2 linked regions of the Canis lupus familiaris genome follow. The protein of the gene in region 1 binds, or shares a complex with, the protein of each later gene. Links are inferred from orthologs where the notes say so. Each region holds a gene or a part of one and is shown on either strand. Other genes may lie near its edges. The genes, in order: SPINDOC and SPIN1.

Region 1 (11,989 bases):
TCACTGCCTGAGCTGAGATCAAGAGTCAGACACTTAACTGACTGAGCCACACAAGCACCCCTGTTGGCAATAGGATTACTGAGCCAAAGAGCATGGACAGATATTTATCATGACTTTAGCTGAAGATCACTACAAAATGCCAAGTAAGTTAAAGTGAAGCCACACATCCACCCTCTCACTCAGCCCTCAACAGCCCTCTCCACATTTAGAGCTTCATACAGCTTTATTTCCTGCAGCTTTTCACTCTCTGTCCGCGTGTCATCATTGGGGCCCTAGAATGCCACCAGTAGTAAAAGCTGTACCAAGAGGAAATGCTTCATCCCAACGTGGGCCTCCAGCCCAGGGGACATTACGGAGAGTGGCCCCGAGCAGCTGTTTGCTGGAACAGGCAATCCATTCCCATCTCTCTCATCTCCAGGCTGTCCTTCCTGTTTTCGGAATCTCATACTCCAAAGCTAAATTCACAAAGTCAAAAGATGAGTTACAGATGTACTTGTCTAGGAAATACGTTCCCTGGGCAGCCCGGGTGGCTCAGCGGTTTAGCGCCGCCTTCAGCCCAGGGCGTGATCCTGGGGTCCCTGGGTTGAGTCCCATGTCGGGCTCCCTGCGAGGAGCCTGCTTCTCCCTCTGCCTGTGTCTCTGCCTCTCTCTCTTTCTCTCTCTCTCTCTGTGTCTCTCATGAATAAATAAAATCTTAAAAAAAAAAATAAAAGTCTATGTCAAAATGTCACCAAGTCTGGAAGAGAACTTTAACTTAACTATAAAATATAACGTGAAGAGATAAGAAACTGTCAGAATTTGGCTTTTTTTAAAAAAAAATATTTTATTTATTTATTCATGAGAGAACAGAGAAAGAGAGAGAGAGAGAGAGAGGCAGAGACACAGGCAGAGGGAGAAGCAGGCTCCATGCAGGGAGCCCGACCCGAAACTCGATCCTGGATCTCCAGGATCCTGCCCTGGGCTGAAGGCGGCGCTAAACCACTGAGCCACCAGGGCTGCCCATAGACTTTTATTATATCATTTTTTCTCCAGTTCAAAGATCGCATTTTTAATTTGTTAAATTTTTTTTCAAAATTTTATTAAATTCTAGTTAGCATATAGTGGAATATTGATTTCACGGTAGAATTTAGTGATTCACCACTTACATACAACACCCAGTGCTCATCACAAGTGCTCTCTTAATGCCCTTCACCCATTTAGTCCCTCCACCCCACTTCCCTCCAACAACTCTCAGGTTGTTCTCTATTGTTAAGAGTCTTTTATGGTTTGCTTCTCTCTCTTTGTTTCTCCCTTCCCTATGTTCATCTGTTTTGTTTCTTAAATTCCACATATACACACACACACAAAAAAAAAACAAATTAAATTCCACATATGAGTGAAATACGGTATTTGTCTTTGACTGATTTATTTTGTTTGGTATAATACCCTCTAGCTCCATCCACGTTGTTGCAAATAGCAAGATTTCATTCTTTTTGATGGCTGAGTAGTATTCCAGTGTGTGTGTGTGTGTGTGTGTGTGTGTGTATACACAACTTCTTCATCAGTCAACAGACATTTGGGCTCTTTCCATAATTTGGCTATTGTTTATAATGCTATAAACATTAGGGTGCATATGCCCCCTTCAAATCAGTATTTTTATATCCTTCAGGTAAATATCTAGTAGTGCAATTCCGGGATTGAGAGCAGTTCTTTTTTTTTTTTTTTTTTTTTAAGGTTTCCATACTGTTTTCCAGAGTGGCTGCACCATTTTATATTCCTACCAATAGTGCAAAAGGGTTCCCCTTTTACCAAATCCTCACCAACATCTGTTGTTTCCTATGTTGTTAATTTTAGCCATTCTGAGAGGTGTGAGGTGCTATTTCATCATGGTTTTGATTTGTATTTCCCTAATGATGAGTGATGTTGAGTGTCTTTTCATGTTTTGGATGGCCATCTGAATGTCTTCTTTGAAAAAATGTCTATTCGTGTATATCACTCTTCATATACACAAAAATGAAAATGTATGCAAAATAAATTGGCTAACATTGTCAAAACCCTCTGACCAAAGACCACCAGGAACACAGCTGCTGTAAAAGAAAGTTAGGTTTATTTAACTTGTTGCTATAAAGGTAAAGGTACCCTAGGGAAGCCCTCACGTGAGTCTCTAAATTCAGGCTTGCACTCCAAGGTTCTGTGGAGGGATTAAGGAAGTGAGGGACCAGTTCTGGATTGAACGCTGTCAAAAAGCAGGGACAACTTAGAAACTAGGTATCTTTAAAACGTTCATCTAGGATACAGGAGGATGCAAGCAGAGCTGGAGTGATCTATGGTAAAGGAGCAGCAATCGCTTAGAGTCATCTTTGTGGTCACCAAGTGGCCTTGCCTATGTCGCATTCTGAGCATGATTTATTTCTGCTGGTAACATCACCATATGAATATCAAAAGAGCGATCTTAAAAAAAAAAAGAGCGATCTTAAACTGTCTTGATATTCCTTTTTTTTTTTTTTGTCTTGATATTCCTAAAACTTCACAGTGATGTCCATTATAGAAAGCATGCCCATACTAAGGATGTTAAAATGTAGAGAAAACACTCATTTTAGATTTGATGAAAAAGGATTCTTGCTTTTTTCCCTTGGGCAAGTAATTTACCCTTTAAGCTTCAACTTCCTACTCTGTTAAATGGGAACAATACAGTCTACTACATAAGACTTATGAGGACAGAGGCACCAGGGTGGCTCAGTGGTTGAGTGTCTACCTTTGGCTCAGGTCATGATCCCAGAGTCCTGAGATCGGTCCCACATCAGGCTTCCCGGAGGGAGCCTGCTTCTCCTTCTGTCCATGTTCCTGCCTGTGTCTCTCATGAATAAATAAAATCTTGGAAAAAAAAAAAAAAAAAAGGAAGAAAGGCTTGTGAGGACAAAGTGCCTTAGTATAGTATTGAGTGTATTACTCGGAGTCCAATGGGGGCAATAGGAATTACTCTAAGTAGGTAAAACAAAGAATTTAATGCAGGGAATTGGTGACACCAGTGACAGGGCTGAGTAGTCCAACAGGGGATAGAGAGGTAACCCAGAGATTAGCAATGACAGGACACTCCCATCACTTCTAAACTGGAGGAACAAATGGAGGAGATGGAATTAATGTAGCCTGGAAGTGAAGATCCTCCTCCAAAAGTTGGAACCATGGCAGCCTATCCAGTAAGAGCTAGAGCCACAGAGGAGCTTTATCTACAGCTGGAGACCTGCCCAAACCTGAGCAAGCGACAGAAAGAGAAGAAACACACTGGCTTTATCCTCCCTTCGATTTTCCAGTCTCCTGCCACTGGCTCCCAATGGCCTAACCCAGACCTGAAGGCCCCAGTCCTGGGAGCCTGGGGATCGGCCCCGCGCAGGGCAATGCAGAGGGGAGCAGGTCAACGAAGGGATCCCTGCAAAAGTTACTAGGTGATCATGAGGTAGAAATGACTTAAACCAGCTTGGTTAACACCTTTATTTGAAAAATCTTTAAAGTCCTGGATACTCTTGAAAGTAACAAAATTCTTCCCTTAAAGACCTATGGTCGTCCTGATAATACCGGTTCGTATCTGCCCTCCAACCTCCAACCTACTCCACACGTTATTCTGAATTCCTACTGAGTCTGGTCGGACGCGGTGGCATTTTAAGACGGATTTCCAGCGTCAGACATTTTCCCCACCCAAATCTCAGGAGAGTTTCTACAGCAGAGATGCCCATTCTACGTCACAGAGAGAAGAGCTCACCCAGGTTGCACCGAGCGGGATTATGATGCAGCCGCGTGTCACGGCCACTGGACCCTGGTCTCAGGGCTCTCAGGGATTCGTGTGACCTTGAGGAGGCTCCACATTTCTAGACTCACGTTAAAAAACAAAAAAACAAAACAAACAAAAAAAAGGCAATCCAAACCCTCCGGCGCGGTGCGCGCGCCCACCCTCCACTTGGCTCTTCCACCGTCGCCCCCCTCGTCCGGGAGGCTCCGCGGCGTTTTCGGAGAAAGGATGAGGTCGTCTAAGAAAACAGAGGGCGAGCCCAAGGTCACGGCGCCCGCGAGCCATCGGGGTCCCGTCCCCCGCCCGGGCCGCGGCCCTGCTCACCGCCCCGCCGCTGCTTTTCCCGCCTGGGCATCTCCCGGCGGGGGCAGGCTCGTTCGGGGAAGGCACCAGCGACCGCAGCGCCCCCGGGGCCCCGCGAGCGCTCTCGACGCGCGCCCAGGGGCCGGGGGCCGGGGGCCGGGGGCCGGGGGCCGGGGGGCAGCCCGGGGAGGGGCCCCCAGCGCGGGGTCTCGGGCCTCTCCCGGCCGGCAGCGCCCCGCCGCCCCCGCCGCCCTGCGGGTCCCGGGGAGGTAACGGAGCCGCGTGCCCGGGGCGGGGCCACGTGCGATTGGCCGCGCGGGGTCGGGGGCGGGCCCGCGGCGGGCCGGCCGGGCGGGCGCCGACAATGAGCCTCCATAAAAGGGAGCGGCGGGGGCCTGGGGCCCCGGATTGAGCCCTCCCCGCCCGGGGTCCCGACGCGCTCGGTCTCGGGGAGGCCCGGTCGCGCCCTCGCAGGCCGGGCGGTGAGCGGCGGGCGGCGGGCGGCGGGGAGGGGGCCCCTGGCGGCGCGCCCGGCCTCCCGCGTCCGGTCACCGCGTCCCCCCCCGCCCCCCGCCTCGGCCGCATCATGGCCCTGAAGGCCGAGGGCGCCGCGCTCGACTGCTTCGAGGTGACGCTCAAATGCGAGGAAGGGGAGGACGAGGAAGAGGCCGTGGTGGTGGCCGTGATTCCACGGCCCGAGCCGATGCTCAGAGGTGAGGCTGGAGGGGACCCCACTTCCGCGTCACGGCGCGGCCCGCGCGCCCCCTCCCCCTCCGGCCTGGGACCCGGGCGCCCCCTCCCCCGCTCTGGCTCCGCCCCCTCCGGGGTCTGGAATCTGGGGCCTCCCCGAATTCCCCCTCCCCCGCCCCCGTCCGGGGTCTGGAGCCTTCGATCCACGCCCCGCGCACTCCGGATCTTCCGGTGCCCGAGCGCCCCCTCGCCCGGGCCCCGCACCGGCGGCCGCGGCCTCCCGCCCCGCGGAGGCGGGGGCCGGGCTGCGGTCCAGGCCGAGGGGCAGCGAGGCCTCCAGGCCCGAGGCTGGGCGCGGCGGCCTGCTGTCCGGAGGGAGCTGGAGGATGCCGCCCGCCGAGGGGAGGATTTTCAGGGCCCTCCGCACGGAAAGCCTTCCTGTCCCCCAACCCCTCTTTGCATCTCCTGCCTAACACTTGAGTAAGCCACAGGTGTCAGATTCTAGCGCTTCGGGGGTGAATGGGATACAGCGCTTGCCAGGGGTACCCTCTGCCACGCAGGAAGGGGCTTGGCCTCAGGAGGGGATAGCAGGAACGGTCTGGGAACACTTGCTTTCCCCTCCCCCTTTACCAATTTCTTTAGTCCGCAGGATCTTGCAGACCATTAGAAAACAAAGGGCCGTCTAAACGGAAAACTTAATACTGGCGAAAATGCCAAAAAAAATCTTTTTCGTAGAAATGCGAACGTGTGTTTATTTTAAGATACCTCTTCCCATAAAGGGGATTGTACCCAAAAGAGAGAGTAAGGCCATTTATTTAATCCCCGCGGAACACGCTATCTCCGTGCACTGCCTCTCAGCCTTTTTGGAATCTGCAGGGTTTTAAAACAAGTCGAGGAAATGAAAGCTGCTGCCCTTGTCAGAGCTTTAGATCTAGCAGAGGTTCTTTTCCGTATTTGTGCTAGTATTTACTGAGTGCTGGATGCTAGGCTGCGTGAATTAATTGTTTCAACAACCCTTTAAGGGAGGCCCTATTCCCCACTGTTACGGTGGGGAAACAGAAGTCCGGAGAAGTTAATTCATTCAACAGGTTTTTATTAGTAGCACCTATTATAAACGAGGCAGTTTTAGGCTGGACATGCAAATGGTTATGAACAAAGATGTAACGTCTCATCTACATATACGTATAAATGAATGACCAAAGACAAACGTAATTCAGTGCATAGGGTGTCAGGTGCCGATAAGTGGTTCAGAGAACACCAGAGCAAAGGGAGGAGAAAATGGATTGGGAGGCGTTTTATTTGGAATATCAAGTAGTCAGAAAGGCTTCTTTTCCAATGTGAATTTTGAGCCCAGACTCCCAGGATGGGAGAGAACGAACCTTTGTGGATGATTGGAGGGAAAGCATCTTAGGCAGAGAGAATAGCAAGTGTAAGTGTCCTGAAGCAGAAGCTTTTTGAAAGAGTTTAGAGGAGAAAAGGATGAATTCAAGGCTTTTGACCTGAGCACCCAGAAGGACAGGCCTCCCGCATCCCAAGACCAGGCGACTAGGATGCAAGCGTATGAAGACAGAGAGTTAAGATTTGAATGGGGCGAGTTTGAGATGCCTGTGACACATCCAAGCTGTAAGGCCAGATAGGCATCAGACACATGCATTTCAGTGCCACTGGAGAGCGGCTGGTGGTATAGATACGGGAGTTGTCAGCCGCCAGGCAACGGGACAACACCTGTCAGAGGAAGGAGTTAGATAGGAGAGGTCTAAAAAACTGAACTGTGGAGCTCTCTCCAGTGACTGCAGGTTGGAGATTGAGTCAGTCCCTCATCAAAGATTTCTGAATGCCACTGCATGCCAGGCATTGTTTTTGATGCTGGAGGTCCAGGTGTGAACGATCCAAAGTCTTGCTGTCCTGGAGCTCACTGGGCAGTGGGGAGGCATGGTGCACAAGTAAAACACACGTTAGGTCTGATGGTGGTGTGGGCTGAGGAGCAGGACATGAGGGGTAAAGGGGAATCGGGTGTCCAGCTTTCTGCAGGAGGCAAGAGGGCTGTGGTAAAAAGATAGTTCTTCAGGCTATTCCTTGAAAGAGATGAGAGAGCTGCACAGGCACCTGAAAAGAGGTGAGGAGGACCCAGTACCAGCAACTGCAAGAGAGCCCCAGGGAAGAAAGGAATGAATCAACAGGAGGCAGTGCCTGGAAGCCAAGTAACAAAAACCTAGATGGAAGAAGTGACGAGCCAAATGATGAAATTTAAGAACTGACAGCCAGGTTTAGCTTTGGTGACCTTGACGGGAGTTGTTTCCGAGCAGTGGTGGGAAAGAAAGCCCAATGGCAGTCAAGAGGTCAAGGTTACTGTGCATGGTCACATGGGACATAGGAACAGCCCAGCCTCGGACCTGAATCTTCCGAGTCCTGGCCACTTCTCAGACCCGTTTCATATGCCACTTATCCATACGGTTCCCAGACGTCAGGGCCCCTCATATTTTACTTCATCCCATCTTCTCAGATGGGAAGGAGATGCGGTTACAAAAGAGCAAGGGGACTCTGCTGCAGAAGCATGGAGCTGCCAGGCTAATGGGGGTCCAAGGCTGCCTTTGTTGAACCGGAAAGAATTCCTGCCCTGCCAGAGCTTGTGGCCCATGTGCACAGGGAACAGATGCCAGGCAGACCCTTGGGAATGAGATCACCCCTGCAAATGCTCTGGGAGGTGGGAGAGGGATTGTGATGGGGTGTGGCAGCCTTCTGAAGGGTCCTTGCCAGGTGGAGAAACAGGCATGCCTGTTCTTTGCTGACTGCAGGCTCCCGGAGCATCTCCTAGGTGGCAGGCCCTGTGGGGGCAGTGAGACAATCAGATGTTCTCAAGAAAGTATGCAGCATGGCCTGGAAGTCAGAGGTGGATATAATCAACCGTCAGGGTGGGAGGTCCCAAAGGCTTCCCAGGAGTGACAATGTGAGCAAGGCCATAAAGGAAGTGTAGGAATTTGTCAGACCAATCAGAATGGTCTAGATGAATGTGCCAAAGCTGAAGACCTGCAAGAACACAGCCTGTTGGAAACCCTGTGGTCTGGAGCCAGATTGAAAGGAGATATACAGGGGATCCCTGGGTGGCTCAGTGGTTTGGCGCCTGCCTTTGTCCTGGGACATGACCCTGGAGTCCCGGGATTGAGTCCCACGTCGGGCTCCCTGCATGGAGCCTGCTTCTCCCTCTGCCTGTGTCTCTGCCTCTCTCTGTCTCTCTTTCATGAATAAATAAATAAAATCTTTAAAAAAAAAAAAAAAGCAGATACACAGATAGTGGGATGCCGATGCACACAGGTTGCGTTTAGTATGGTTAGTGCCTCGCGGGCTGCAGGGGAGAGGAGAGAGAGAGACTTGGGGTAAGAATGTGCCTCCCTCCGCCCTCCAGCCCTCCACCAAGTTTGGGGAATCATGTAAGTATTCTAGGCCATGGGTACCTCTACTGGTAACATCCTCCTGCACGTCTCCCTCTGTAGTGGCCCAGCAGGAGAAGACCCCACCGCCTAGGCCCAACCTGCTGGAGGCAGGCAGCGATGGCTGTGAGGAGCCCAAGCAGCAGGTGTCTTGGGAGCAGGAGTTCCTTGTGGGAAACAGCCCCGGAGGCAGCGGGCGGGCACTGTGCATGGTGTGTGGGTCCGAAATCCGGTCCCCCTCTGCCGACACGGCGCGCATGCATATCCTGGAGCAGCATCCTCACACCCTGGACCTGAGCCCTTCAGAGAAAAGCAACATCCTGGAGGCCTGGAGTGAGGGAGTGGCCCTTTTGCAAGACATCAGAGCTGAGCAGCCTTCCTCGCCCACCTCAGGTAGTTGGAAGTGAGGGTCGGGTGGAGGATGAAGGGAAAAGTCGGACTCACAGAGCACTTGGAACTCACTGGGTGTTTGCCTTCTTCAGACTCAGGCCAGGATGTCGAAGCTGACCCGGACTCTGACCCAGACCCTGCCAAAATGCCAGCAGAGATCGTTGTTCTCCTCGACTCTGAGGACAACCCATCTCTCCCGAAAAGGAGCCGGCCCAGGGGACTCCGCCCCCTCGAGCTTCCTGGTCAGTTTTTGGGAAGCCCTTGCGGCTGAGCTGGGGAGAGGGGAGTGCGCATTCTGTGTTCTGTGTGACGAGAGGCTACAGGGCCCAGGCGTGGCCCCTTTCAAAGGTACAAGGTCTTCTCATTCTGTAGCTGCCCCTGCCTCAGAGGCAGGAAATAGGAAGCCCCGTGGTCAGAGATGGAAGGAGCCCCCTGGAGAAGAACCGGTCAGAAAGAAAAGAGGCAGACCCATGACCAAAAACTTGGACCTGGACCCAGACCCTGACCCAGGTGAGGGAGAGGCCCATGACGGGCGTGGGCTCCAGGCGCAGTGCTCCAAGAGGAAAGTCACGCCAGGGCAGGGGGGCCGTCCAGGCCTCTGGACTCTGGCTTCAGTGGCCATAGGCAGCACAGCCTTACAGACTCTGTTCTATCCTGTCCTTCCTTCCAGACCCCCCATCACCTGACTCACCCACGGAGACTTTTGCTGCTCCTGCTGAGGTCCGTCACTTCACCGACGGCAGCTTCCCCCCGGGCTTCGTCCTCCAGCTCTTCTCTCACACACAGCTCAGGGCCTCAGACAGCAAGGACTCACCCAGAGAAGGGGTTGCTGCAGGAGGCCTTCCCCAGCCAGAAAGCCCCTCTCCAGGTGAGCTCCTGGGAGGGGACGACAAGGGTGGGTCGGAGAGAGCCAGGCTACATCCCTGGGGTCTGGCCTCCTCAAGGCTGCTCTGCAGCAGAGCCTGGGATACAGGTGGTTACTGCTCAGGGCCCCTGAGACGCGGGGCCGAGGGCGGGCAGACCAGAATGGTGGGGACTGGCCAGCAAGCTGAGCCGCTCTGTTAGCTCCTGGGGAGTGTCCTGGAGTTGGTTGTTAGGTTGGGCTAAGCCAGTACTCCCCAGAGCCTGACACCCATCAGCACACTTATGGCTGATTCCTCCTGGAACCCGAGGTGCCTAGCTCGCCCTGGTGGAGCCAGGGCCCGAGTGGGACTGGAACAGAACAGACCCCTGGTCAACTCGGCAGGCACCTCCGTAGAGAGCAGCTCAGTGACTTTTGAATGATAGCATGAAGTGCTTGCGTTTGTATCATGTTCAACCAATTTCAAGAAACTTTTCTATGTAGTTCATCTGGCCCTTAGAAAAGTCTGTTTTCCGCATGGGAAGGTGGAGTCTCAGCTGGTTCTTCCCTCCCTTGATCCTTGTATTCGTTTCCTGTGGCTTCTATGACAAACTACCACAAATCTTAGTGGCTTACAAGAATACACTTTATTACTTTTCAGTTCTGGAAGTCAGAGGTCTAGAATGGGTTTCATCCATCTAAAATCGGCAGGGTCCTATTCTTTTCCAGAGGCTCCAGCAGGGGGTCGCTGGGGGGTAATCCATTTTCTTGTCCTGCCCAGCTTCTTAGAAGCGAGCATTCCTTGGCTATGGTCTCCTTCCGTCTTCAAAGCCAGCAGTGGCCAGTAGAGTCTTTCTGAGGATGTCGTCTTTGTTCTGACTTGTCTGCCTCCCTCTTCCCCCCCCTGGGACCCCTGTCATCCTGTGGAGCCCACCCAGATCATCCAGGACAATCTATTTTGAAGTCAGCTGGTTAGCAACATTAATTCCATCTACTGCCTCAGTTCTCCCTTGCCACGTAAGATAGCATAGTCAGAGATCCTGGGGATTAGGGAGTGGGATATCTTTGAGCAACACAGTCATATAGCCAGGCAGTGGCTGGATTCAGATTAGACCAGAACATGCCTTGGGAGGGCAGAGGCTGAGCCTCATTCCTCTTCATCTCTCCATGCCAGGCGCCTCGGGCTCAGGAAATGGCTTTTTTTTTTTTTTTTTAAGATTTTATTTATTCATGAGAGACACAGAGAGAGAGAGGCAGAGGGAGAAGCAGGCTCCATGCAGTCCCGATGTGGGACTCAATCCCGATCCTGGGTCTCCAGGATCAGGCCCTGGGCTGAAGGCGGCGCTAAACCGCTGAGCCACCCGTGCTGCCCAGGAAATGGCTCTTGAAGGAGTGACCAGGTGACACACAGAGCACTTTGTCGTGGCCTGCCTGAAATAGTGCATTCGGAGTTAGAGCCCAGGGAAAGCTAGCACGGGAGGTACCAGGGGCTCCCCAGAGCAGGGGTCTCAAAAAGGAGGTGGACTTTTTGTACAAAGAAAAAGCAAAAAAAAAAAAAAAAGAAAGGAAGAAAAAGCAAATATGCCCCTTCTCTTGCCCACCCCACCTCACTCAACAGTGGTGAGCACTGTTAATAGTTGGTTTTGTGTCTTGAGACCTCTCACGAAGCTCAGCGTGTGCCTGTATGTGTGTACACGCACTTTTCACTGAATTCTATTTTACCAAGATAGGCTCTGTTTTTTCTCATCTTGAGGCAGGCGTCAGCTCTTCACGTAGATCACGGTCTTAACTGTCTCAAGTTTCAGCTTGAGCCACATTCCAGTCCTGCCTCCCCGAGACTGTGTGCTCTGCTTGGACTTGAGCGTTCCCTGAGCTTCCTCGTTCTCTTCGGTGGATCACTGCTTTAAATGGCTCACTGCTTCCACTGTTTAATGGGTCTTCTGGTTTCATTCTCGAAAGGGAGCCTTCATTTTGAAACCTGGGATACCCTGTGCCCCAATTCACCTGTCTGGAGTGGTGAGTAGCTGAGAAGGGAGTCCCTGAGACCTCACATTCCTTTGGGGTACGTGGGCAAAGTCTGAGGCCTTGGGATACATGAATATAATTGACATGAGAGGGTTTTTCTCAGCAGGTGGCAGAATCTAGGGAGGTTGGAGGTGGCGGGAACACACAGTGGACGCTGTGTAAGTGTTCCTGCCTGTAGCCAGGCTGGGCCCTCAGGGGAGCACTATGGAAAATAACATGAGTGAGGACAGAGTTTCTCTGTCCCCAAGAAATTTACTGTCTGTTTGAAGGTACAGGTTGGAGGAGTGACGCAGCCACTGTAGTTCTGTGCGGAGCAAAGGCTTCCAGAGCGGTGGCCACAGACTGTTTGGGGATCCCAAAGCTTGGGCAGATTTCTCAAAACCCTGTGAGGCTTCAACCAGAATATCTTCATGTTGAGTTGCTTTTTGTATTGAAGTTCTTAAAAGATTTTGAGTAAAGATTCTAATTCTATCAGTTTAAAAAGGTTTAAAAGTCAAGGATTTAGAAATTGGTGAGGTCACTACGGTGAGGTCAGCTGAGCTGATGGAT
Region 2 (11,474 bases), on another chromosome or scaffold:
AAGATGCTCTGTTCCTTGAGGTCCATTTGTCTTACTAGAATGTCAGTGTCTGTGGTTCGGGCCCACTTTCCCAGGGTGGCCTTCACAGATTTGGGGCATTTCTCTAGAGTTATATGGTGTCGTCCTGTTGTTTGGAAGCTGGAACTGGTGTCTGTCACTGTCTCTCTGTTACTGTCCTCTGTCCTCTCTCCCAGGTGTGCCCCCCAGTGTCTGTTGGACGCTTCAGTCCTCCTTTCTGGGCTCTGTTGTATGTCTGATGGTTGCAGATACCTTTGGGGGTATGCTTCCCTTGGGGTCCTACTCCTCGATGGCTGTCCTTGCTGTCGAGCTCAGAGCCCCTGTGTCTCTGTGAGGTCTCTGTGACGTGTCCCCGTTGTCTCTTTGTCTCTCATGGTGCTGTTCTGCTGGAGAGGACGGCAAGCCCCACCTTCCTGGGAGGCAGGTTTGCTGGGTGCTTGCCGAGCTTTCTTGGGGTCGGGGGCAGACCTATGATTGCTGCTGTCCTCACAGCCCTGCACGGAACCTCGGAACCTCAGGACCCCTTCTCCAGCCCAGCGTGAGACGGTTTTCTCCTAGGCCGGCGCCTCTGGCTGAGGTGAAGCCTGCAGCAGCTGACGCGGTCTCCTCAGGCAGCCGTGCTCTGCTGGCACCTGTTCCGTCTCACAGAACTCTGGGCTTGCCAGACTCTTCTACTGGAAATACATACCTCTGTAGCTTTAAATGTTACAGCCTCCAATAAATGGTTTTCCTTTTCAACGTTTGTGTGTGTGCCAGTCGTTCATCATTTGCGCTCGTGCTGCCGCAGCAAGAGCTTTCTGTCTACTGAAGGTTCTTGTTGCAGCGTGGGCAGGGCTGGGCCGTCCTTTATGTGCGGAGAGCTAGGTAGAACCAGGATCCCAGGACCCACATGTACTGCTTGTAAACACCATGCGGAGAGTTTTCAGTTTTAGTCTGGGAAGAATATGTTGCTCTAACACTTTTTAACGTTACATTAAGTATTTGTCCCAAATCTCAGTGTGTAAGATTGCATGTTTTCTGGAGATGTCCTGATGGTACCGTGTGGGGGTCTGACGGTGCGAGATGCCAGCCAGCCTGGACTGCTGGCCAGGGAGAAGGGACAAACTCAATGTCTAGTGTCTTTTCACTGCTTCAGGTGGTGGAGGCTCGAGATGTGGCCACCACTGTGGGTGACACTGAACGTTTGCACATTTCGTGTGACAAGGAACAGGTTCATGCTCTGTAAAGCCATGTGTATGTTTACATAATTCACATGGTCAGCCCTTCTCTTCCTCTGATTAACTGGGATTGTTGTGAATTGATTGCATTAAAGGGGACTCGGAATGCTGACAACAGGATGCTCATGCTCAGTACGAGGGCTGATGGGCAGTGTGCCCTGCTGCCTGTCCACAGTGGGTACATGGGGAGCCCTGTGGCTGCCATGCCATGTGCACATGGGGTGCACATGTGCACATGGCACCCCATGGGGGTGGGGGGCTCACCTGTAGGCACCTGGACCGGGAACATGGCACCGTTAGCCAGCGCAGGCCTGGGATTACCTGGAGGAGAGCATGCTAGCTAGCGGTAGCATTGGATCGAGGGGTGCATACTTCTGAGATGATCCCTTACGTGTGTATATGTGTGAATGCAGAAAACATCGGAGCAGTGTGGGGCCGAGCAAACCTGTTTCCCAGCCCCGGCGGAACATCGTAGGCTGCAGGATTCAGCATGGGTGGAAGGAGGGGAATGGCCCTGTCACCCAGTGGAAAGGAACCGTTCTGGACCAGGTGCCTGTAAATCCTTCTTTGTATCTTATAAAATACGATGGATTTGACTGTGTTTATGGACTAGAACTTAATAAAGATGAAAGAGTTTCTGCGCTCGAAGTCCTCCCTGATAGAGTTGGTAAGTTCTCTTTACTATTTGTGCGTTGTATGCTTTAAAAATGATTATCGAAATGGATGCTTTTTGATGATTCTTTTGCATTATTGGTGTTTTTATTTTTACTGGAGTGCAGGCACTCCCGGTACACAGTTAAGTCACTGAAAGCACAGTCCAGGGAACTGTTAGGGATGTAAAGATGTATCAGGTTATTGGTGAAGAAATTGACAATCTGATCATTTCTAACATGGTTATTTCCTACATTTTGCTCACTGTTCATGTGGACTCTGATGGGTAAGAATATTTTATTAGCTCAACTATGCTGTGTACTTGTTTCATCAGACTGTGGTAGCTTATGCCTTTATTAGAAGCCTTATGTGAAGTGTAGTTTTCATCGTGTAATGTCAGTGGCATTGCATTTGCAGCCACACCTGAGGCAGCCACCCCCTGTTTGCATTGACTGTGGGAGGGAGTCTTTAAATGTCCCCCTGATGTGTTCCTCAAGACACAAGGTGTCCGTTAAATAATAATGACTGATTTTATCCTTAGGAATGAAGTAAAATGTTATTGTTAAGATCATCTGCATTAACCTTACTTTCTTCAGAGTGTTCACTTTGAAATGTTTCCTTATTACAGTGATGCTACTCGTGTACGAGCATATATCTGTTTATGCTTTTGGAATGGTCTTTAGAAGCTTCCGTGTTAACAAACCCCATCCCAGCAGAGGTGGACCTGGAGGGGCCAGGTTGTCAAGAGATGGCGCTCCTCAGTCCCCTGTCCCCTTTGTTCTTGCCCCTGTGTTCTTAGGACACACACTTCCCTCACCAAGTTAATTCTTTGCCAGGTCAGCAGGTTTCTTGTTGGTGTTCCCTGAGGATAGCAGTGCTGTGTATTTGTCTTTGTCAGGACAGCTCAGTTCTCACAGAGATCTTGCTTTCCATCTTTCTTATCCGTTTATTCAAGGTACCTCACTGAGCGGTGTTGCATCTTCGGCACCTGTCATATCTTCACCTGTTCCTGAGCGCCCCCCACCCCCCCGTAGGATGCCATGGTTTCTTCTTGATCCCCATGTGCACCCATTTCCAATGTAGGACACAAACATCAAAGAGTCTTACCTTCAGGTGTTGAAAATGTCCAAACCTTTATATCCATTGTCTGTGCTGGGTAGTGATCACATATTCTTGTGACCCAGAAGTTTAGTCTCCCTCCTTCCTGGGGCGAGGCTGCCAGCCCACGTGAGATTACCTGCATTCTGCTGCGTGGCCTGTGCCAGATCTCCTGAGTTCTTCTGCCATTGTAGGACAGAGGAAGTCCTTTTATGTTGGTAAAAACATGGTTTGAGCAAACCAAAATAGCCCCAAATCTCTAAGTATTTATGGTGATGGACTCAGAGTGCCTCCTGTTTTTTTGGCAGTTCCCAGCAGGAGGCAGGGTTGCTTTTCTAGAGTCTTACCAAGGAAATACAAAGGCTGCTATGCAAGCCAGGGTATCGCGTGCTGACTTGAATTGCTAGTTAATGTCGGTATTCCCTGTGGACCTCAGTCTGGAAAGCTGTGTAGCGGTCACTCTCATTCCACTGGGAAGGAGGCAGTGTTCATGGTCTGCATCACTCAGCAAACACAGCATCTTCTCTATGGGACCAGATCATGTGCTGGTAAAGGATCCATTGGACGATCAACAGGTTGGTTTTGTGGTGGTGAGAAAACATGTGACCTGCAGTTCGCTACCTTGATTATTCTTAAGTGTCCATAATTAAGCGAGTGTTTAGTTGTGTCCACACAGTCATGGAGCAGGTCTCCAGAAAGTCTTCATCCTGTTGGCCTGTAGCTCTGTCCCTCTTTACCACCCCCCCCTTCTCCGTGGTGTTGATCACCTGAAATGCCTCCTAAATGGGATTGTAGAGTATTTGTGTTTTTGTGACCTCACTGCGCCCTTGCAGTTGCAGCACCCCCTTCTCTCTAGGGCTGCACCATGCCTCCGTGCTCACGTGCACCCCTTCTGTGCCTCCCGCCCTCTGTGGGGCTGCGGGGGGTGATGCTGCTGTGGAGGTGGTGGGCCCCTGCTTTCCTGTCCCTCGAGGACAGTGCCCCAGGTGGAATTGCTGGGGTGTCCCTGTGCTGTTCTTCACAACGCTCGTAGCATCTTGGGTTCCCAGCTGCAGGCACAGGCTCTGGTTTCTCTCCTGTCCTCCCCAACCCTTGGCGTGCCCTGTTGGGTGTTTTTTTTTTTTTTCGTTTGTGTTTTATTTTTTTAAGATTTTATTTATTCATGAGACACAGAGAGGCAGAGACATAGGCAGAGGGAGAAGCAGGCTCCATGCCGGGAGCCCAATGCAAGACTCGATCCCAGGACTCTGGGATCATGACCTGAGCCGAAGGCAGACATTCAACTGCTGAACCCCCCAGGCGTCCCTCTCTGTCATTTTTTTTTTTTTTAAAGATTTTTTTATTTATTCATTCATGAGAGAGAGAGATAGAGAGGCAGAGACACAGGCAGAGGGAGAAGCAGGCATCATACAGAGAGCCTGATGTGGGACTCGATCCAGGGTCTCCAGGATCATGCCCTGGGCTGCAGGCGGCGCCAAACCGCTGCGCCACCGGGGCTGCCCCCTCTCTGTCAGTTTTGATGTGAGTCTCCCTGACATTTAGTGATGTTGAGCATCTTCTCACATGCTTTTCGGCCACTTGTCTGTCATCTCTGCAGAATCTATTCGGATCCTTGCCCATTTTCCATCAGATTATTTTTTTTTGCTGCTGAGTTGTAGAAGTTCTTTATCTCTTCTGGAGACATTTTTATTGTGACTGTGACAGGTTTGCTGATAACAATTCCAGATTCTGCACCACACTTAACCATGAAGGAGCTACCACATGTTGATTGTCAAGTAGCATCATAGGGGAGCATCTGGTTTCCTGAAAAGCCCCTTTTCAGCAGCAGGGCTTTGTGAGGTTGGATTTTGTGTGTCCACTGGAAGAGCATGTGACTGATTACTGGAGCATATAGGACAACCTGGCTGCCCTGTAGAGCTGGGTATCAGGAGGTGTACAGAGATGTGAAGCTACACACTTCCTACTACATTTTTATAAGAAGATATAGTTATTTTTTGTTAGAAATGAATTCTGTAGATTTGTCATTTATAATTTCCAACAGCTGATTCTGATAGCTATCCATATGCTAAAGTGCATTTTTAATATTTATTTATTTATTTATTTATTCATTCATTCATTCATTCATTTATTTATTTATTTTTGCTAAAATGCAGTTTTAGATCCTCAGAAATATTTTAAGAATATAGGAGTCTGGAGATCGAACTTTGAGAACTTCTGGCCCAAAGAGTGTAGTAGGCTTTGTTTTAGTGTGCGGTGGGGAATTTTGTGTAATTTTGGAGAATTCCTGCATGTGTAAGTGGAGAGAACCACCATATGTGCTTGGAGTGTCCTTCTAATAAAATTAGGTAACAGTATCTTGAGCAAGAAATTACAATCTGTTCCTTTGAATTTTAACAGAAATAGAAGCGATTATGAATGAAATAGAAGTGCTAATTTGTTTTTAATGACAGTTGTCTAAAATGTGAGGACAAGAGAAATCTTTGCATCATTAGGATCCTTCATGATTTTCCCACTATTAATAAAAGGAAGGTTGTGATTGTCCGCCTGCCTCTTCACACAGAGCAGGCCTGAGAATTAGTTTGTACGGTAGTTGTTGACGCCCTGGGGTCTCAGTGTGGGAATGCAGACGCTGTCTGAGCCAGGAACAGGATCACTGCAGGTGATGCCAGGTGTCATTAGGGAATAAGTAAAGTGGAGGACACGACAGGTGGCTGGTGTGGGGCTGATCTCACCTTGTGGTCCTGGAGACAGAGGAGCCTGGTGGGAAGGAGAGAGAGGCCCATGGGGGCAGAGGGACAGGCCAAGAAGGGAGGCTGCCAGGCCCAGGGAAATGGTTTGATTTTCACATGACCAGGTGGAAGCACTGGGGCATTTTAAGCCAAAGCGCTGGCTGCCGTGACTGATGCCAGGCGCAGTCTGGTCACCATGCATATGAGAGTCCCCTCTCTGGCCTGGCATGGGTGAAATTTCTTAGCTTGCATCCCCTGGCTTGTGTTACCCAGGTGTTAATAAAGGGAAGTGGGGTGACGGTGTATGTGACCGCTCCTGCTCTGCAGTTAGAGTGAGGCTGTGATTACTCAGTATATAAAGTAACCATTAACACTAAACACTTTATACCTCGAATAAAACCATTGGAAGTTCCAGGTAGAATCAGTGTAGGGCAGAGGAGTGCAGGAGAAGAACCAGGAGCTGCCTGGGGACAGAACCAGGAGGTGCCATGGGAGCCCGTGCTCTGGGCCCCCAGCAGTACTGTGGGCCTGGCCCCTGCTGCCTCCTGCTGGCCCTTGTGCCACTACTGTGGTGCGTGGACCACGTCTCAGGCTGTCCCTCTGCCGGAGCTCAGTCTCCACAGTACGGATCTTGTAAAACCCCCATGTGAACCGTTGTTTGCTTCTTGTCCACAGCGACTTCTCGAATCAGTGATGCACACCTGGCCGACACGATGATCGGCAAGGCGGTAGAGCACATGTTTGAGACGGAGGATGGCTCCAAGGACGAGTGGAGGGGGATGGTCCTAGCGCGCGCCCCTATCATGAACACGTGGTTCTACATCACCTACGAGAAGGATCCCGTCTTGTACATGTACCAGCTCCTAGATGATTATAAAGAAGGCGACCTTCGCATTATGCCCGATTCTAGTAAGTGTACATTGGCAATCTTTGTTTCTGATAATTCCAAAGGAACTTGAATTTTAGAATGAGATATTTGATGATCTATTTTTGTACATGTATCTTATTTTATTTTGATTTTTATTTTAATTTGAGGGTTAAATTATTCTTCTAGTCATGCACCAAGCATAGGTTGTGAAGTTTTGCATTTTTGCCTCAAGTCCTGTGCTTTCTATTTGGGTGTCCTATCCTGGGTGTGGACTTGTCCGTGGGTGGAGTGTGTCATGTAGACTCCTCGTGAGTGACTTCCTTATTAGCTCAGCATTTTCAGGGCTCATCCGTGTTGTGGCAAGTGTCTGTGCTTCATTTCTTTTAATGGCCAAGTACAATTGCACTGTATGCACGTTTATTCACCCATCCACTGATGGGCACGTGTGTTGTAGACCACCTCTTGGTGATGATGAAGGATGTTGCTGTAAACCTTTGTGTGCAGGTTTCTCAGTGGACGTTTGTTTTCAGTTCGCCTGAGTGCTTGCTGAGGACTGGGACCGTTGGGTGTGTGGTCACTGCTGAATCTTTGGGGAACCGCCAGACTGGTTTTCGAGACCGCTGTACCCTTCTCCATGCACGTCAACTGTGTCTGAGGGCTCTGACACAAACACTTCGTGTTACCTGACTTTTGGCTCTAACTGTCCTGGTTGCGAAACACTACCTCACCATGGGCTTGGTTTACATTTCCCTGACCGCTACAGACACCAGGCGGCCTTCTGTGTGTTACTGGCCGTTTCTATGTCTTTTTTGGAGAAGCCTATTGGTGCTGTCTGCCTGTTTCTCGTCACCGCCATTCTGTTGCTGTGTTTATCAAGTCTGGGTCTTGGTGCGGATCTCCTGACGTGTAGGATTTGCAGACACTTTCTCATATTCGGTGGGTTTCTTTTCACGGTCTTGGTGGTGTTCAAAGCACAGAAGTTTTTCATTGTGACGAAGGCCACTTTAGTTTTCCTTTTGTACCTTGTGCTTTTGGTGTTGTGTCTGACAGTCTTTGCCAAGGCCAAGGTCAAGGTCATGATGACCTACCTCTTTCTTTTCTTTTACGGGTCTTGTAGGCATTGCTCTTACATTTAGATCTTTGAAATGTTTTGCATTAATTTTCATGATGTGCTGGAGGGTCCACCTTCATTCTGCGTGTTGTCTGAGCACCATGTTGTGGAAAGACTTGTTTCCCTGCTGGTGGTGGAAAGAAGCTGGTTGTGGATGGACAGCTGTGTTCCTGGGCTTTGGGTGCTGCTCTGTGTGCCTGTGCCTCGGGGGACATGTGCCACACTCGGTTACCCGGCTCTGGGGTAAGTTACGATGTTGGGCAGTGCTGAATCCTATGTTCTCTCTCAGGATTGTTTGGATTTTTCTGAGTTCCTTGCGATTTCATGAATTTTGGAATCAGTTTGTCAGTTTCTGCAAAGAAGTCAGCTGGGACTCAGAGGGGGATTGAATCTGATTATCTTGACAATATGAAGCCTTCTAACCCGGGAGCACAGGAATACTCTCCGCTTTGCTGAGATTTACAGATGTCTATCAACAGTGTCTTGACGTTCTCAGAGTAGCAGTTTTGTACTTCTTTGTTAGGTTTTATTCCTGAATTTTGTGCTCTTTTTGATACTGTTATGAATGAAATTATTCTCTTAATTTCATTTTTGGGTGGTAAGCCTGTTCTTTTTTAAACTGCTCCATAGCCTTGCCTCCAGCACTGGGCTCCCAGGCCTGGATGGGGTGACAGCATGTCTGTTCTCGTTGGGTTCTTCCTCCAGCACTTGTGCTCATCTGGCCCTGACTTTCTACCTTCTTTGTCTTAGGGTTTGTCATAAGTCTGTAATGGAAAATATTTATATGGGCAGGAATTTAATTATCAGGAGAGTGTTCCTTAAGAGCACTTCTCCAGCCTATATGAAGTTGGGTTTTTAACTTTTTTGTAGAAAAGGACCCACAGTAAGGACTGCTGCCTCACTGCTGGAAAGCGTGGGCCTTTGCATTGTGTGTGGTGTCCCCCAGACCCCCTTGCCCTTTCAGTCTTTTCCTCCCATCCCAAACACTGCTTCAGCAAGTGTTTGGCCCACAGTGATGATGCTCCGGTGTGAGTGCTGTGCAGGGGCCTCTGTGCGGGGGGCTTCGGCGAGAGGCCCTGACATCCTGCTGGGGTTGCTGAGGTGGCGGCCGTCCCAGCTCCTAAAGCTCTGTAAGCTCCCAAAGCTCTGTAAACTGGAGGTGTTCCTAAAGTGAGGTGGGCTTGGCGCCACTGCCTGGCAAGGGAACAGTGTGTGGTTTGGCCCTGTGGCTTGGCCAGGCTTCCTTGCTCAGAGACCCGCTGAAACAAGGCTGGGCGTGGGCTGGTCGAGGTGGCAGGCTCAGGGCTGCGAGACTGAGGGTGCTCCATGTGGTGTGAGCAAGGCGCCTGGGGTGGGAGGCCGGTGCTGCTCCTGGCTGAAGAGTTCGCCGCACCTGCCCTGCTGCTCCCAGCTTCGCCATGGGAGCCGGTGGTCGCTTGTTGCTGTGCTCCGAGCCGTTCTCGCCCAGGGTGGCGTGGCGTGGCTTTGCCAGGGTCACCCAACAGGCCCCGGGCAGAGGGGACCTCTGTCATCTTGGGGGACCCGGGGGACCCGTTGTGATTGGTCTGGGCCGGAGGGTGGCGCTGGGCACCTGTGTTCAGAGCGCGGGAACTCATATCAGAGCACGGGAACTCTTACTCAGAAGCTGAGCTGGGGGAGACTGTGTGGTGGGGTGACCTGGGAAAGCCCAGGAGGGTGTGTCTTCTCAGCGTCCCAGGGGGCGCTATTACCAGTGGCAGGTCCTGTGGGGCTCGGCTTTTCCCTGGTCTTGCCCTGCTGAGCCCTCACCTCTCATTCTCAGCTGTTACTACACAGGAGCCATGGGAATTTCTGCTTATGATTTTCAAAATCCTTTACCCACCCTGGTCCTGGGGGGCGGCACACTGTTTTAATAAATAAAGTTTTACAGGCATACAGCCACACCTTTCATTTAGGCACCCCCGCGACTGCTCCCCTGTGACTGGCAGAGCTGAGTAGTCTGTGCAGACACCGTACAGCCTCAAGCCTCACATATTTACCATCTGGCCCTTGAAGAAAACATTGCCGACTCTTGCCCTAGATAATCAGGGATGTGAAGTTTTTAAAAAATTATTATGAAAATAGACATGTGAATTGGTACATACCTAAAATTTGACTTTAAATTCTTTTCTTTCCCCTCTTTAACACAGATGATTCTCCTCCAGCAGAAAGGGAACCAGGAGAAGTTGTGGACAGCCTGGTAGGCAAACAAGTGGAATATGCCAAAGAGGACGGCTCTAAAAGGACTGGCATGGTCATTCATCAAGTGGAGGCCAAACCGTCTGTCTATTTCATCAAGTTTGATGACGATTTCCATATTTATGTCTACGATTTGGTGAAAACATCCTAGATGTCATCATGAACTTTGCCAAATTTGTGGAACTATTAAATGTATAATTTGTAGACATAAAGACTTGATTGCTTTCCAGTTTAATGAAAGCTTAAATGTCCCTGCGAACCCACAATCTCTGCCAGCAGAACTGGTTTTGTTCTGAATAGTACAGATTTATGTGAACACAAAGCATTTTGTGTAAGGAACTCCTTCCTCTTAAAAGAAGTCTGTGTGTCTGGAGGGGAGTTAAGGCAAGTTTGGTGCAAGTTAAGCTAGCATTGCGGTCGTATAGAACTGTACTGGATCGTCCCCAGCTCCCCGTCACCATAGCTCTCCTTCTCTGCTGCCACACTGCAAGCGTAGTTTGGTACTGTCGGTACTGCCTTCTTTTTTGAGACGTGTATGTATCTCTATCTACCTGTCCAGCTCTGTGTGTGTCCATATGCACTACGCGCGCACGCACACACACACACACACTCTTCCTTGGCAGTCCTTTCTTTGTGGATTGGGGTGGGGGTTCAATAATATTCTCCAGTTTAACAGGAGTGCTTGTCCTAAGTCAGTCCTATTTTGTATATTACTGCTGTCTATTTAAAATTAAATGTGGGCACAGGAGACAACATCAGGATGTTCAGCATGTTCTGGAAGTCGGAAGTTCAGACACTGTTTCAGTCTGGAGGCTTTAAATCATGAGTCCAAATATAAATCCCTTGAGAACAGTTGCTGGACCCACATTAGAATTCAACAAAACATTAGAAATCTGGGTCAAAAGCTGCCTTTAATTCTAAGCTTTGTAAATTTTTGTTTACATATTTTTTAATCATAAATCCTCTTTCTGTTTTAAAGCAAAGCCCAGGTACTTGTGCACACACAGTGGTGCAGGTGTGTTTTGGGTGGCCCAAGCGGTCCGTTCATGTGTACAAATCAGTCTGGATTCTAGTACGTGGATCTGAGAGGCAGCAGTGCATCAGTGGTTTGTGTGTGTGTGGTAAGTTCCTGGCAGAACCTAGTGCTTTTATATTAGAAATACAAGTTTCAGAATGGTGTTGCCGCCTGCCAGCAGGTTCTCTGGAACACTTATTTTTATTACTGTTCTTACTGGTACATGGTTGTGGTCAGAAGGCTTTTCCCCACAAGAGGATCTAGATGCACAACAGCCAGGTCCCCGGCCGCCTTCTGTGGTGCTGCACGGTCTTGCTCCTCGAGTGCTGTTGATGTGGGCTCTCCCCATCCAGGGGCCCTGCCACGTCAGGGCCGGTCACTGCGCTAGCCCCCGGGTGTGCCTGGAAGCAGCCCATGGCTGCACGACCCTCTCGTGGCTGATTCCCACAAGGTGGGCTTCACCGGAATAGACCCGCAGAGGTAGTTAGTGTGCCAGCGACACGGCCATCTGTCCCTTTGTTTTGGATGAGCCCTGACCGTACGAAAGCCA

Evidence for each region.
Region 2: the proteins of SPINDOC (region 1) and SPIN1 are in contact, whole or in part, in a crystal structure (PDB 7CNA), measured with the Homo sapiens proteins. The link is inferred for Canis lupus familiaris from reciprocal best matches to the Homo sapiens genes SPINDOC and SPIN1. Residues at the interface, in NP_612480.1 of Homo sapiens: Phe256, Ala258, Pro259, Ala260, Val262, His264, Phe265, Thr266, Asp267, Ser269, Phe270, Pro271, Gly273, Phe274, Val275, Leu276, Gln277, Leu278, Phe279, Ser280; in NP_006708.2 of Homo sapiens: Met154, Thr169, Tyr170, Glu171, Pro174, Pro206, Val209, Val210, Leu213, Lys216, Gln217, Val218, Glu219, Tyr220, Thr229, Val232, Val242, Tyr243, Ile245, Phe247, Asp249, Asp250, Tyr254, Val255, Tyr256, Asp257, Leu258, Val259, Lys260, Thr261.

Annotation. Positions count from the first base shown.
Region 1 is NC_049239.1:53,686,797-53,698,785, reverse strand, and holds the start of SPINDOC (spindlin interactor and repressor of chromatin-binding protein), read left to right. Parts: upstream 1-4,606; 5' UTR 4,607-4,652; coding exon 4,653-4,779; intron 4,780-5,087; exon of another isoform or gene 5,088-5,235; coding exon of another isoform or gene 5,236-5,236; intron 5,237-8,247; coding exon 8,248-8,577; intron 8,578-8,666; coding exon 8,667-8,816; intron 8,817-8,946; coding exon 8,947-9,084; intron 9,085-9,244; coding exon 9,245-9,442; intron 9,443-9,746; coding exon of another isoform or gene 9,747-9,754; exon of another isoform or gene 9,755-11,010; intron 11,011-11,172; coding exon of another isoform or gene 11,173-11,204; exon of another isoform or gene 11,205-11,214; coding exon of another isoform or gene 11,215-11,225; exon of another isoform or gene 11,226-11,989. UniProt on the Homo sapiens protein: Chromatin protein that stabilizes SPIN1 and enhances its association with histone H3 trimethylated at both 'Lys-4' and 'Lys-9' (H3K4me3K9me3).
Region 2 is NC_049222.1:98,071,759-98,083,232, reverse strand, and holds part of SPIN1 (spindlin-1), read left to right. Parts: intron 1-510; exon of another isoform or gene 511-760; intron 761-1,648; coding exon 1,649-1,902; intron 1,903-6,388; coding exon 6,389-6,622; intron 6,623-9,860; coding exon 9,861-10,060; 3' UTR 10,061-11,474. UniProt on the Homo sapiens protein: Chromatin reader that specifically recognizes and binds histone H3 both trimethylated at 'Lys-4' and 'Lys-9' (H3K4me3K9me3) and is involved in piRNA-mediated retrotransposon silencing during spermatogenesis.